Ovis aries: one gene and its partner. The protein of the gene in region 2 purifies or fractionates together with the protein of the main gene of each other region. This does not show direct contact. Links are inferred from orthologs where the notes say so. Each region holds a gene or a part of one and is shown on either strand. Other genes may lie near its edges.

Region 1 (6,612 bases), about 29 Mb from region 2:
GGGTAATGCCTCTTACTTAATGAAGCCTATATGGAATAATGGAGAATTTTTATAAACTCTGATGTCTAGTGCAAAAAGCATCTGTGATGATGTGGTAGAATGTAAGTTGCAGAGCACAGTTACAGGCATTAGCTCTTTGTGATCCTTGAGAGTGCTTTAGAGATTACACAAGGAAACTGAGGTTCATTGTGGTTATCATCCCAGGTCACACACTTAGGAGATCTGAGACTCAAAACGGAATTATCAGGCTCTTCATCAGTGTTCTTTTCTACAATAAGTCCCTCTCTTTTTATGTGGTAGTTGCTTTAGGGAGAAGGTCAGGGAGTTAGGAGGACCCACTGGGTTTGGGACAGCAGGGAATTAAATCCCCAAATTTGATCTCAACACTTTCCTAGTAAATGGGACCTCATGGTGCTTCAAGAACTTTATACACACACACACACACAGCTTCCACTACTCTTTAGGGGTCCATCTCAGGCTTAGTGTCCTGTTTTATCCGTGTATAGTAGGTAGAGGGAACATTTGTTTCATTTTGAGCTTAAAACACCACTTGGCAGGGGTGTTTATATAACTGGTGTAAGGTGGAGTTGCCTTTAAGAATTTGAAACTCAATATTCTGATATCTAAAGCCAAAAGAATATCCAGTCCACATAAAATATGAATAATGGTAATCAAGTTGATTTGCTTATTAATTTAGTATTAATACCAGCTTACTTTCTTTAGTGCTGAAAACAAAAATTCCAGTGAAATGTAATTTTTAAATGGGCTATTAACAATGAAAATAAACATTTAATCAGACTTCACAGAATACGTGATTATTTGTGTGTTGCTTTTCCTTCCTCCACTCGTCTCCTTGCCCCACCACCTCTTCTTCCTGATTTCATGAGAAGAAAATGCTGAGCCAGACTTGGATGACAATGAGGATGAGGAGGAGCCTGCCGTGGAGATTGAACCCGAGCCAGAGCCCCAGCCAGTGACCCCAGCCCCACCACCTGCCAAGAAACGGAGAGGACGCCCCCCTGGCAGAACCAACCAGCCCAAACAGACCCAGCGTAAGTTGCTTGTCTCAGCTCAGTAGGCTGGCGTCCTCTCCTAATGTGGGGAAGCCAGACAGGTCCTTGTTCTCTGGATAGATGGGAACCGAGCCATGAGAACAAGTTAAGGTCACACTGGGAACAAATTCTCAGGAAGCGATTTTTTAGTTTTTTATTGGGGAACATCTGAGAAAGTCTCTAGAGGATTGTTAAGTTTCAGCAAGATAAAGTCCAGAGTCAAAGGGTACTTACTATGAGATGGGTATTGTCAGTGTCAGAGGGTTTTACAAAACAATTAGAGTCTTAGTTAGCTGGTAAAATTGACATGGTAATGAATGTAATGTATAAGAGCCAAATTTTAAAGGATGGAGGAATAAAGGGATTTCCATGATGACAGTGTCCCTCCTAAGAAACCCAGACCCATGACATGGATTCTGTTGCTGCCTTCCTGATTTATGAGAAGACATTGGGGAGCAGTCCTGTACTGGACATGGCCCTTGTAATTGCAGGCTCTAGGGAGTCTCAGGTGTCTGTTCTATTCATGAATCTCCGAAAAGCTGGCAATTCTTTTTCTTTCTTCAACAAATGCAGTGTTTCATCTGTTTTTTTAATATGTTCCTTGAGCCCCATGTCAAAATGTCTTATTACAGAGGGGTGGTGGGGGAACTATTTGACCTACAAATATTTGAGTGAACAAACTGGTGGTAGAACCCTCGGTGTTGGACAGCTTCAGATGCAAAAATATCAGGTTCTGGAACTTCTCTGGAGGTTCATGGCTAAGACTGCACTCCCAATGCAGGGGCCCCCAGGTTCAATCCCTGATCAAGGAACTAGATCCTGCAGGCCACAGCTAAGCTCGTGTGCTGCAACTAAGACCTGGCACAGATAAGTTTGTTAAAAGTGTCGGGCTCTTGCGCTGCAGGTGGGGCATCTCTGAGACAGGCCTGCCCGCGCCCTCCACTCTGAGGCCTGCCTTGACTCGTGCGCCCTGCATGTTTTGCCTGTGTCACACTGACTGTTGTGAAGCCCTAATCTATGAGATACAGGAAAGCTTAAGGTTTTTAACACATGATTTGGGAGGCATATGAAGAGGAATGTCAGTACTTTGTTTTTTGGTACTATCTAGAGTATTTGGGCTTTGTGTATGGCCACATTATAGGTTATTAAGTCTTTTTTATTGATGTTCTCTATATCAAAACTGAGGCTTTCCTGTGTTGCTGACTTTCATTTAGTGTCAAAGTCTGAAAAGACCCTTGCAATTCTTGGGGGCTTTAATGGAGCATTTGTTTTCTTCATGCTCTTCTTTGCCAGCAACAGCCATCATTCAGGTCGAAGACCAGAATACAGGTGCAATTGAGAACATTATAGTTGAAGTCAAAAAAGAGCCAGATGCAGAGCCTGCGGAGGGGGAGGAAGAGGAGGCCCAGCCAGCTGCCACAGATGCCCCCAACGGAGACCTCACGCCTGAGATGATCCTCAGCATGATGGACCGGTGATGGCAGGGCCTTGCTCCTTGCCAGGACTGCTCTGGGCTGTGTTTAAACGGCCTGCATCTTAATTTTTCTCCCTTCTTTCTTCTTTTGGCTTTGGGAAAAGCATCATTTTACCAAACATACTGAGAACTAAAACTTCAAGGATGATGTTAGAAAATGTGATTTAACTAGAACTTGCTGTTTGATGTTAGCAAATCATGGAATGTTCTGAGTCCCTGAGGGTTTACTGTGAAGTGCTGAGGACAGTGTTCACGCCTCCCTGGTTTTCTTAGCTGGAAACAGAGACATTGAACCCTCTCTCTTGCAATGGTAAACCACTCCAGAAACCACCACCGGGTTTCCCAGAGTTCTTACAGTCTTCTTCCCAGGAGAGTTTTTAATTGTAAATGCAGACTTGGGAAGGACTTAAACTTTTAAACTGGTTTTTGCTTTTGCTTTTCCCTGACTCCCTTTGCTTGGAGTCAGCTGCACACCAGTAGTATGGCATGCTACGATTGGTTTCTGTCCTGAAGACTTTGCCTCTTTCTTGGCAAAGTTTCTGGTATGGTCAAGCTTGTAAATAACTTTTTTTACATTTTAATCTTTTCCATTAATTACGAGGTTGAAAAGAAGTGCAGTGTAAGAAAACCCAGCATTTTAATTACTTGCAAATTAAGTTACTACAGATGGTAGTTTGTAAACGTTGACGAGGAATTGGATCACAATCATGTCGCAGAACGGCACCGAGACTGCTGCCCTAGTGACGGACACCCACATGGAGCACCACGACTCCAACCCATGGAGCCAGCATTTGAACCTTGCACAATTAACTTTCAGTTATGATTTCCCATCTACGTTTCCTTTGCTTTGTTCGTAGCTGAGTTTCGTGTTTTATAAATCCTCTGTTGAAGCAGAAGGGTGATTATGAGTGGGTCACAGCAGCTCTTAAAAGCTGGGCCAGGAAATTTCACTAGGTCAGTAATTTAAACTTCGGATCTTCAAAAAAATAATAATGTGAAGCAAAACCAACTCAAAGTGATTCTTGCACATGAACTGTCACATGTTTAAAATGTGTTTTTTAGAGAGCCTCAGTCTTGCTGATTTCAACACTTTTTTCTTCTGTGTATTGCTTTTAAGAGAGCCATCAGTTAGCTATCAGACTCTAGGTTGATGCATTTTGTACTTAGCTGTACTGTGTGATATTTTTCATTATTTTAGGACGCCAACATGAGACCTGTAATAAAATATGTAATGGGGTTGAAAGCTGGGGAGGAGGATCTACTGCTGTACAGCTAATAAATCATAACGGATTAACAAGCGCTCCGAACACCCCCACTTGTGTGATTCCTGCCTAACCAGGGGCCCAGGGGGGTCTGTGTGCATAATCTCAGACAGCGCAGGCCTCTTTCAGAAGTGAGCTGTGCTTCCAGGATGACCACTTCTGTCTAGCAGATGGGCGATGATCTTGGCAAGTGATGGACTATTGAGGGCATCAATCCTGCTACAAGTTTTAATGCCCCAAAAGTATATGAGTAGAGATGTGAGTCTATACAGCTGCCAGCCCCCATGATCCACATAAAGAGTGGATTCCCTGTGGTAGAGCAGGTGGACCACAGAGCTTAAAGTAAAAGGGGCCAGTGGGGAGCTCTGGCCTCAAGATCTCAGCTCAAGATTTCCCTGGTGGTAAAGTGGATAAGAATCTGCTTGCCAATTCAGGGGACATGAGTTCGATCCCTGGTCCAGGAAGATTCCACATGCCGCATGGCAACTAAGGCCGGCACCACAGCTACCAAAGTCCACGCACCTGGAGCCTGTGCTCCACAGCCAAAGAAGCCATTGCAGTGAGAAGCCGGTGAACCTCAGCGAAGAGTAGTCCCCGCTCAGCACCACTAGAGAAAGCATTCACGCAGCAGCAGAGACCCAGCAGAACCCAGATGTAAACAGATTAATAATAACTTTTTAAAAAATTGGCTCACAGAGAACTGGGATCATTGCATCAAGCTTTGCTAAATGGCAGGGGAACAGAGAGAAGCTGGACCCTGGGGAAGTTCTTCTCTTGTCTGCCCTAGAGAAACTCACTTGAAAGGGGAGACCGATGTGCCACTACCAGACTGCGGGGAGAGACCTAGAGAGCATAGCTCCCTGTTAGCACCTGGGAAGCATGCTGGGAAGGGAATGCGTTAGGAAGTTTCTGTGTTGATGAATTACCATCTTGCTGTTGTCCATTTCTGAGCAGATTGCTCTGGCAGACCCATTGTAGGTGAAAGCTTTGGCCACAAATTACAGGGTTTTTTGGTTACTGAAGTATAGTTGATTTATAATGTGTTACTGCTGTCCAGCAGTGTGATTCAGTTATATATACATTCTTTTTTTTTAAATACTCCTTTCCATTTTGGTTTATCATAGACTATTGAATATAGTTCTCTGTGCCATACAGTAGGACCTTTTTTTTTTAAATCCATTCTATATATAAAAGCTTAACATCTGCTGATCTCAGCCTCCCTCTCTGTCCTTCCCTCTTGGCAACCACCAGTCTGTTCTCCATGTCTGTGATTCATAGATAAGCTCATTTGTGTCATATTTGAGATTCCACATATAAGTGATAGCATATGGCATTTGTCTTTTTCTGATTTACTTCATTTAACATAATTTCTAGTTGCATCCATGTTGCTGCAGTAGCGCTTTTCATTCTGTTTCGAGGCTGAGTAGTCCATTGTGTATACATACCACATCTTCTGTATCTGCTGATGGGCATCTAGGTGGCTTCCATGTCTTGGCTCTTGTAAATAGTGCAGGTAGGAACATAGGGTGTGTGTATGTGTTTGAATTATAGTTTTGCCCAGATATGTGCACAGGAGTGGGATTGCTGGATCAAATGGTTTTTTATGATGGCCATTCTGACTGTTAAGAAGTGGTACCTCACTGTAGTTTTGATTTGCATTTCTCTAATAGTGATGTTGAATATCATCATGTGCATATTGGCCATCTGTGCTGCTTTGGAGGAATGACTTAAGTCTTCTGCCCATTTTTGGGTTGGATTGTTTAATTTTTCATTGTTGAGTTGTATGAACTCTCTATATATTTTGGAGATGAAGCCCTTGTCAGTTGCATTATTTGCAAATATTTTTTCCATTCCATATGTTGTCTTAGATTTTTTTTGATTTTCTTTTCTATGCAAAAGCTTGTAAGTTTGATAAGGTCCCATTTGTTTAATTTTGTTTCTACTTCGTTTGCTTTGGGACACTTGACTTAAAACATTGGTACGATTTATGACAATGTTTTGTCTATGTTTTCTAGGAGTTATATGGTGTCTTGTTCTGTTTAAGTCTTTCAGTCATTTGTGTGTTTTTTTGCATATGGTGAGAGGGTGTGTTCTAATTTCATTGATTTACATGCAGCTGTTCAACTTCCCCAGCACCACTTGCTATAAAGACTTTTTCTCATTGCATATTCTTGCCTCCTTTGTCAAAGATTAATTGACTGTAGGTGTGGGCTTATTTCTGAGCTGTCTCCTCTGTTCCATTGATCCATGTGTCTGCTTTTGTGCCAGTTCTGATTATTGTAGCTTATAGTCTGTCTGAAGTCTAGGAGGGTTATGCCTCCTGCTTTGTTTTTCTTTAGGACTGCTTTGGCAATTCTGGGTCTTTTATGGTTCCATATGAATATTAGGATTCTGTGTCCTAGTTCTGTGAAAAATGTCATCAGTAATTTGATAGGGATCACATTAAAACTGTAGATTGCTTTGGGTGGTATGGAGATTTTGACACCATTACTTTTTCCAATCCAGGAGCAGGGGATATGTATTTCTTTGAATTATCTTCAGTTTTCTTTATTAATGTTTTATAGTTCTTATCATATTTAAGTCTTTCACTTCCTTGGTGAAGTTTATTCATAAGTGTGTTGTTTTTTGGGGTTATGATTCTAAGAGGTATTGATTTTTGTACATACCCTTTCTGATGTTTCATTGTTAGTGTAAAGAAATAACAGCCAATTTCTCTATGTTATCTTGTATCCTGCTACCTTGCTGAATTCATTTATCAGTTCTAGTAGCTTTTGTGTGGAGTCTTTAAGGTTTTCTATATATAGTATTATTTCATCTGCATATA
Region 2 (8,272 bases):
GACGCTGCTGCTTTGCTCTCCGCAGCCCGATGGTAAGGTGGTCTACACGTCCCTGCAGTGGGCCAGCCTGCAGTGAGCTCCAGAGACCTGTGGGCGCGTGGCCATGTCCGTGGCAAGACCATTTCTAGATGGTTCCAAGCTCATCTCTGCGTGGGAGGCCCCGCCCCACCTCCTCTCTCTCTTGGCGATTAGTGTTCGATTCCAGATTTATAAACACTACATCCTCCTTATATCCCTCCCCAATCCAAAGCACTTAGTGGCTGTGTTTTTTTTTATTGTTAACAGTTTCCAACCATGAGTTTCCTGAGTGTGAAAGCTGATTCATTTCTGTTTTCTACAGGGCTTAGGTCCCAAGAGGTCTCAATAAATTTGTTGAATCAGTGTGGAGTTTGTGATTTGAATCCTTAAGACAATCCTGGGAGGTGTGGGCAGTTGCTGCAGGTGTTTGGGCAGATGAGGAAAAGCCTGGGGGAGGGGAAATGAGTTGCCCAAGGTCCCACTTCTAGTAAGGAGCAGGTGTGTTAGTCGCTGAGTCGTGTCCAACTCTTTGTGACCCCATGGGCTTCCCTGGTGGATCAAACGGTAAAGAGTGTGCCTCCAATGTGGGAGACCTGGGTTCGATGCCGGGGTTGGGAAGATCCCCTGGAGGAGGGCATGGCAACCCACTCCATTATTCCTGCCTGGGGAATCCCATGGACAGAGGAGCCTGCATTTAGTTGCTCAGTCATGTCTACCAGGGATAGAACTCAAGGCCCCGACAGGTAATAAATGCTGGAGAGGGTGTGGAGAAGAGGGAACCCTCTTACACTATTGGTGGCAATGTAAATTGGTACAGCCACTAGGGAGAACAGTATGGAGGGTCCTTAAAAAACTAAAAATGGAACTACCAAATGACCCAGCAGTCACACTCCTGGGCATGTATACTGAGAAAACCATACTTTGAAAAGGTGCTTGCAGCACTATTTACAATAACCAAGACATGGAAGCAACCTAAGTGTCCATCAACAGATGAATGGATAAAGAAGATTCGGTACATATGTGCAATGGGGTATTACTCAGCCATAGAAAAGAGTGAAATCTTGCCATCTGCAGCAAAATGGGTGGACCTAGAGATGGTCATAGGTAATGACAACTAGTGAAGTAAGGCAATGACAAGCATGACATGGCAATCGCTTATGTGGAATCTAGAAAAAAATAGATAAACATTATTAAAACAAACAGACTCACAGACATGGAAAACAAGCTTATGGTCACCAAAGGGAACAGTGAGGGGAGGGAAGATAAATTATAAGTTTGGGATTAATATATACACATGACAATATGTAAAGCAGGTAAAAATCAAGAATTTACTAGATAGCACAGGAAACTATAGGGCTTCCCAGGTGGCACTAGGGGCAAAGAACCAGCCTGAAAGCACAAGGGACAAGAGACGCGGGTTTGATCCCTGGGCTGGGAAGATCCCCTGGAGGAGGGCATGGCAACCTACTTCAGTATCTTGCCTGAGGAATCCCATGGACAGAGGATCCTGGTGGGCTACAGTTCACGGGGTTGCAGAGAATTGGACACTATTGAAGGACAGAGGAGCCTGGTCGGCTACAGTTCATGTATCTTGCTTGAGAAATTCCATGGACAGAGGATCCTGGTGGGCTACAGTTCACGGGGTTGCAGAGAATTAGACACGATTGAAGGACAGAGGAGCCTGGTCGGCTACAGTTCATGGAGTTGCAGAGAGTTGGACACAATTGAAGCAACTTAGTATGCACACACTGTAGCCTGACTGGCTTCTCTGTCCACTAGCGCCACTGGGAAGCCCAGGATTAAGTAAATTAACATGGGTACAATTCTTTGAATGGGGCCTGATGCATAGTAATTAAGTATTCTAGAATGCCACCTATTATTTTTAGTGATAGAAATAATGGGTCACATGAATTAAAACATCAACAACAATAACAACAACAACAAAACACCCAAAACTGTAAGGTGTTTAACCCAAAGCCTAGGAGATTTAGAGTGCTTGTTAAATATTATCTAACCAAGATAAAGTTGGTGTGAATGGGATTATCCCAGAGAGAAAAGCACTAGAGGCAATAATCCTGGGGCTGTCTGAGAGGAGATATATATATATTTCAGGTTTATAGCAAGAGGTTTCAGAATATTTTCCCTGTTCTGGAAACCCAAAGAAAACCTCAGGATATAAACTGCTTTCACAAAGAGGCACAGAGTCTTTTAATCATTGGATCTCGTTTAAGGAAAAGTTAGTTACCTTTACGTGTATACACACATACACACACACATCACAGTTTTCATCAGTCACCTTCTTAAGGAGGCTTCCCTGACCATCCTTTCTGAAATACCATTTTCCCTCCGTCACTGAGAGATGTGCTTAGTCGCTTAATCCTGTCCGACCCTTTGCGACCCCGTGGACTGTAGCCTGCCAGGCTCCTCTGTTCATGAGATTTTTCAGGCAATAGTCCTAGAGTGGATTGCCATTTCCTTCTCCAGGGGATCGTCCCAACCCAGGGATCGAACCTGGGTCTCCCGCACTGCAGGCGGATTCTTTACCACTGAGTCATCAGAGAAGCTCAGTCATTACCAATAATTTATTTTCCTCACAGCAGCTATCTGAAAAGACCTTATTATTTTCCCTCTCCTCCCTTAGACTCAAAGTTTCACGAACAGAGGGGCTGTTGAAGGGTTCAAAAGGGCAGACTGGCTTCTGGCTGTGCCTCGCGTAGACATTCTGATATGAAAAATTATTTTTTAAAAAGTATTCATGGATATAACAGAGCATCTTGGAAGGGGCTCTGAATTCGCATAGGTCCAGTCCTCTGGAGATCTCTTCAGAGAGACGCAGCATGCTGAAGCCTAGCGGCGGAGGCCGTGACTACTCCAGCTTCATACCGCGACTCAGACGTTAGCTGAGTGGTGATTTAAGAGAGGAGCCCTCACGTCGCACCAGACCGAGCATTAATCCCTCAGGAGTCCTCCCGGTTCAGCACGCCACTCTAGCCCAAGCTCTCCTCTTGACTGCTTTGTCCGCCCGCCAAGGCCTTTTCTGATTGGTGCAAACTTGCGCTCTGCGTGCTGACGTCACAAGATGGCGACGTTGCTATAAGAACGCGGCCGGCGAACGTGTGCTCCTCTTTCTTGGTTTCCAGAGCGTTCGCTCAGGTGAGCCTTGCGGCCGCGTTCGGTATTTTGGGTGTCGGTCGTAAAGTCTTGCGGGCTATTCGACCTTTAATGAGTACGCTAAAGCAGTTGGAGGTGAAATGGGCGTAACTGGAAAGTGGTAGAAATGAATAGTCGGTTATAAAACTCTTCAGGGACGGTTCTCGCGATATCTTCCCTAGGCGCCGGGAGGCTCTTGGCGTAGTTGTGGGACTGCGCAGGCGCCGCCGAGTCCTCTCAGGCCGCTCTCCTTCCCGCGCAGGCGCAGACGGGCAAACAGAGCCAGCATGCCGGTCGCCCGGAGCTGGGTTTGTCGCAAAACCTATGTGACCCCGCGGAGACCCTTCGAGAAGTCCCGCCTCGACCAAGAGCTGAAGCTGATCGGTGAGTGGCTAAAGCTAGGTTTCTGTTTCCCGGGCTGGGGAAGCTGACACGTGGGTGAGGCCGCCCACGTGCTCGTTAAAATTCTCCAGTGTGTTCGCCCTCCTCACCCAGTTGCGGGATTGTTGTTTTTCTGTATCCCGAAATCACTAATCCTTTTTCACTAGTCCATGGGACTGAGCTTTTTCACTCATTCTGCAGGCGAGTACGGGCTCCGGAACAAACGTGAGGTCTGGAGGGTCAAATTCACCCTGGCCAAGATCCGAAAGGCTGCCCGGGAGCTGCTGACGCTGGATGAGAAAGACCCGCGGCGTCTGTTCGAAGGTGTGTTTGTGAGCCCCCGGGAGAGCTGCTGGTGTTCTTCCTTCTAGGGTTGTGCAAGACATGGAGCAAGACATTGAATCCAGCTTTTAATAGGAGTTATGGAGTAGAGAAATAGGTCTGAATCTCCGAGTACGTAGCTTTTTTCTTGTTTATGTCTGTTTTATTCAAACACTGAGAATCGGTTTCCAGTGGACTAGAACTAACAGTGCCAAGTATTGGGCACCTGGTTATATCTATACATAGTTCACAGAGCAGTATTGCTCCTTACGTTCTTGTTCCCTGCTAGAGGGACTGGACGGTGACATTTGAGAAGTCCCACCAGGGTGGAACTTGAGTGTGTGTATTTGCCGCCTTTAGCACGATGGTGAAGGACGTTTACTCAGGGTCTGAACAGTAGAGGACCTGTGGGTTTCACAGGAAAGAACGGTTCCAGGTGATCTTAGAGGGAACCCACCGTATGATTTAAGGTGAAAAAAAATGATGGTGTGGTATATTTGACAAACTGCCATCTTTTAGACTCTTAAGGTCTATCTGCTTTAAGATGTGAGGTTGATGGGCTTTTGGAAGGGACGATATCATTCATATTTCAGTAGGACCTCTTAGGTTGTCAGATGGTGAAAATACTAAGAAAGCTGGTACTTTATAAGGCTCACTGAATATCTTTTCTATGCTCTTGGTGTACATTTGCACAAGTAGACTGGCGGGGGTACTGGATCACAGTCTTCAAATGAGCAAGTGATCGAGACTTCCCGCAGTAGGTGGGACTGGAGGGCACGCGAGCTCAGGGTTGGGAGTTGAAGGAGGCTTCCAGATGATGGTTAGGTAACACGCCAAGTTGAAACAGTTCCTAAATGTGAGAGTAGTCAGTAGACTTGGTGCTGCATTCTGTCCCGAGTGTGGAGGAGCTTCATAGACAGTTTGTGACTCTAACGACCTTGGCTGTAGCTGACTCTTTTTTGGTGTAGGTGTATCTGTTTTTTGTGACACCTTTTATTAGGATAAACTTTACACAACAGGAAGTTTGCTCACAGTATCTAAAATTTGTTTTTAGTTACCTCTAGAATTGGCCATTTTGTAGGTATTATCTTGATGCTGCTTTTGGTCTGACCCCGGGAAATCTTGATTCTAGTGAAAGTGAGGAGGGATTGGGCTAACTTGGGCAGCTGGCTTTTTATTTTCAATTAGAGTGGCTAGTCTGATTTTTCTCCCAAACCGTGATTAAGGATGGAAGTGCTCTTACACTTGTGTTAAGCATTAGTAGTCATCCATAGTAGAGACTGAGAAAGGTTTGGAGAGGTTACACTAACAGATTCATCACTTTGATCTATCCCAGTTCCAAGGGTGTGAGAGGTTCTCATTTTTAACCTTTGTTAGTTCGGAAGCTCCTTTGACACTTGTGAGAATTCAGGAATCTCCCTGGTGGATGTTGGTATTGGGTGGAACTCTGTCCCAGAGTTTGGGGGACAGACCTCAGCTTGTTCTGGTCTCAGGGAAACTTGCTGGAGAGTTAATCACAGAGAAACTTAGGTGCTAACCAGTCATGTGACAAAGAGATGGCACAGGGCAGGGTTGAGCAGCGGGTGTCCAGGGATTACTTGGTTTTCCAGGGGGGATGTTGCGTGGGGAGGGCAACAGCAAGTAATCCACAGTGAGTGAAGCTAGATTGCTGGGATGGAGAGGAGGAGCCTGGGAGCTCTGAGGTGTTTGCTTACTGCTGCAGCTTGGCCTTGTTTGAGGTCCAGCCTTTCCTACTAAGGTGTGAGTCTTACCTGACAAGAAGAGTTACTGGTTCATTTCATTCAGTCATTCACAGGTATCAGCTCTCACCTGACACCAGCACAGGGTAAAGACCAAACCTGGCTCTCCTGCACTGCAGGCAGATTCTCTACCCTGTTCTGGTGTGAGGTGGGAGTTGACACCTGTGACTCTTTTTGTCATAAGACTCACACCTTAGTGGGAGTTTGATCCCTGGGTCAGGAAGATCCCCTGGAGTAGGAATGGCAACCCATTCCAGCTTATTACCTGGAGAATGCTGTGGACAGGGGCCTGGCAGAGTTGGACACGACTGAGTGACTAACACATCATATTAGAAACTAAGGCCCTTAAATGCTTGCCTCATGCCATAGAGACAAGGGCCCCTTGGCCATTGAGGTGCCCACTGGCATACAGTTGTTTTTTTTTTTTTTAAACAAACTTTGATTTGGCTGATTCTGATTGTTAATTCTTTTGGCCAAATGAAAACCGTTTATCAATTTTCAGTAGTTTGACACATTCCTGTTGCTGAAGGCTGCAAGTTTATCAGTTTTATTTTTGTCTTCATATCCAGTAAGATTTTTCCTACTCACTATTAAAGGATGTAGGTGGGTTAATAATAGTAAGTAAAATATGTTTTCAAAGTAATACAGGTTGAGTTATTGTCAGATGTTTATTTTCTAATATAAGTACAAAAAGACATGAAGTGTCCAAACTGGTAGATAATTCCAAACTCACTTTTGTTTACCTTTGGATATGTTTTATAATAATATTTGATTATTATGTTCAGTTTTTAAATTGTATAATTTATCATTTGACATTATGAGTATGGAACAGAATGATACATTTGTATATTGTGAAATGATCTCCACAGTAACATCAGATCATCTTCCCATTTTTTAATCGAAGTGTTTTTTTTTTTTTGCTGTTGTATTATTTCATTATATATTTTGGTTATTAACGCCTTATTAGATATGTGATTTATAAATATTTTCTCCCATTCCGAAGGTGGTTTTTCTTTTTGTTATGCTCTGCAGAAGCTTTTTAGTTTGATGTGGTCCAACTTGTTGATTTTTCCTTTTGTTACCTTTAGTTTAGAATCAGATCCAAACAATCATCTCCGAGACTGAGGTCAAGGAGGGTAGTGCCTGTGTTCCTAGGAGTTTCATGGTGTCAGGTCTTACATTCCTGTGTTTAATCCACTTTGGGTTTGTTTTTTCCCCCCGCTGGAGAGCTTAAGGGATCTTCATTCCCAGTTGTTGTTTAGTCGCTAAGTCATGTCCAACTCCCAGTGGACCCCATGGACCGTAGCCCGCCAGGCTCCTCTGTCCATGGGATTTCCACGGCAGGAATGATAGAGTAGGCTGCCGTTTCCTTCCCCCTGGGATCTCCCCCGCCCCCCAACCAGGGATTTCCTGTGTTGCAGGCATATTCTTTACCGCTGAGCCGGGGCCACTGCAGTGGAATCACCAGTTTCCGAGTCCTCACTGCTGGACCTTGTGGGAATTCATGGTTTTTAGTTAACTTTTGCACAGGATAAGATAGGGGTTCAGCCTTGTTCTTGCATGTGGCTGTCCAGTTTTCCAGACACCATTATCGAGAGACTTCCCCACTGTGTATGCCCAGCTCCTTTGTTGTAAATTGACTGACCGTTTGTATATGTGGGCTTATTTCTGGTCTCCATTCTGCTCCCTTGATCTGTTTCTATGCCAGTAGTGTCGTACTGCTTTGATTACTGTGACTAATGTGTACAACTTTGGGGGGGTTTTCTTCTGTTTATTTTTTGTTTTTGTCTTTTTTACAACTTTGTTTTTCCTCCAGATGGGCTTGAGCTAGCTATTCAGGGTCTTTTCTGGTTCCATAAAGATTTTAGGATTGCTTGTTCTTTTCCTGTGAAAAATGGCATTGGAATTGTTATAGGGATTGCCTCCAGTCTGTATGTCGCTATAGGTAGTGTGGGCGTGTTTTAGCTGCGGCCCCAGTCCATGAGCACTGAATTTCTTTGCGTCTGCGTCTTTAGTTTCTTTGATGGTGTTTTGCAGTTCTCATTGTGCAGGCTTTTCACTAAGATTTCTATGCACTTGGAAATGGGAGACTATCCTTGACTTGTGTTCAGTGTGTATTCAGGGCAGATTGGTACCTGGGGTGTTGGAAAAGGCGTAGTATGTTTCTCCACTCAGATTCTCCTTGGCTGCGAGTCTGCTAGGAAGGCTGTGACAGTCAGCCAGCTTTCCTTCAGGCTTTGTCTGGGGGCGGGGGGTGTGGGTGGTAATGGTGCTTTTAGGAGCTAATAAATGATAACCCTCTGTGATGATAACCAGCCCCGGGAGTGCAGCCGGCAGCGACCCCGGAGCTCTCTTGAGTGGCGCTTGGACGCCCCCAGGCAAGGGCCCCTGAAGCTTGAGTTGCCGGGTGCCAGGGAGAAGCTGGCGCCCGCTGGTCTACTTTGCCAGGCACTGAGGCCATCCTCACCGTTGTCTCAGTAGAGCATGGACGGCAAGCACTCAGCTGGCGCGTGGGCCCGCGTCTCTTCCGGGCCCGACAGATGGCACTGACGCTGCTCCGGTGCGAGATGTGGGAGGTGGCTTGCGCGCGTTTGAGTGGTAGGGCTTCTTGGGCTCTAGCATGTTAGCTCGTGGCCCTGTGC

The links.
Region 1: the proteins of RPS9 (region 2) and CTCF purify together in Homo sapiens (affinity purification with mass spectrometry; 3 studies listed by BioGRID and IntAct, with this or other methods). This does not show direct contact. The link is inferred for Ovis aries from reciprocal best matches to the Homo sapiens genes RPS9 and CTCF.

What each region holds. Positions count from the first base shown.
Region 1 is NC_056067.1:34,743,899-34,750,510, forward strand, and holds the end of CTCF (transcriptional repressor CTCF), read left to right. Parts: exon of another isoform or gene 1-874; intron 875-890; coding exon 891-1,052; intron 1,053-2,345; coding exon 2,346-2,530; 3' UTR 2,531-3,825; downstream 3,826-6,612.
Region 2 is NC_056067.1:63,944,803-63,953,074, reverse strand, and holds the start of RPS9 (small ribosomal subunit protein uS4), read left to right. Parts: upstream 1-3,140; 5' UTR 3,141-3,171; intron 3,172-3,350; 5' UTR 3,351-3,455; coding exon 3,456-3,552; intron 3,553-3,750; coding exon 3,751-3,873; intron 3,874-8,272. Other genes in the region: TSEN34 (tRNA-splicing endonuclease subunit Sen34), read left to right, coding at 1-76. UniProt on the Homo sapiens protein: Component of the small ribosomal subunit. The ribosome is a large ribonucleoprotein complex responsible for the synthesis of proteins in the cell. Part of the small subunit (SSU) processome, first precursor of the small eukaryotic ribosomal subunit.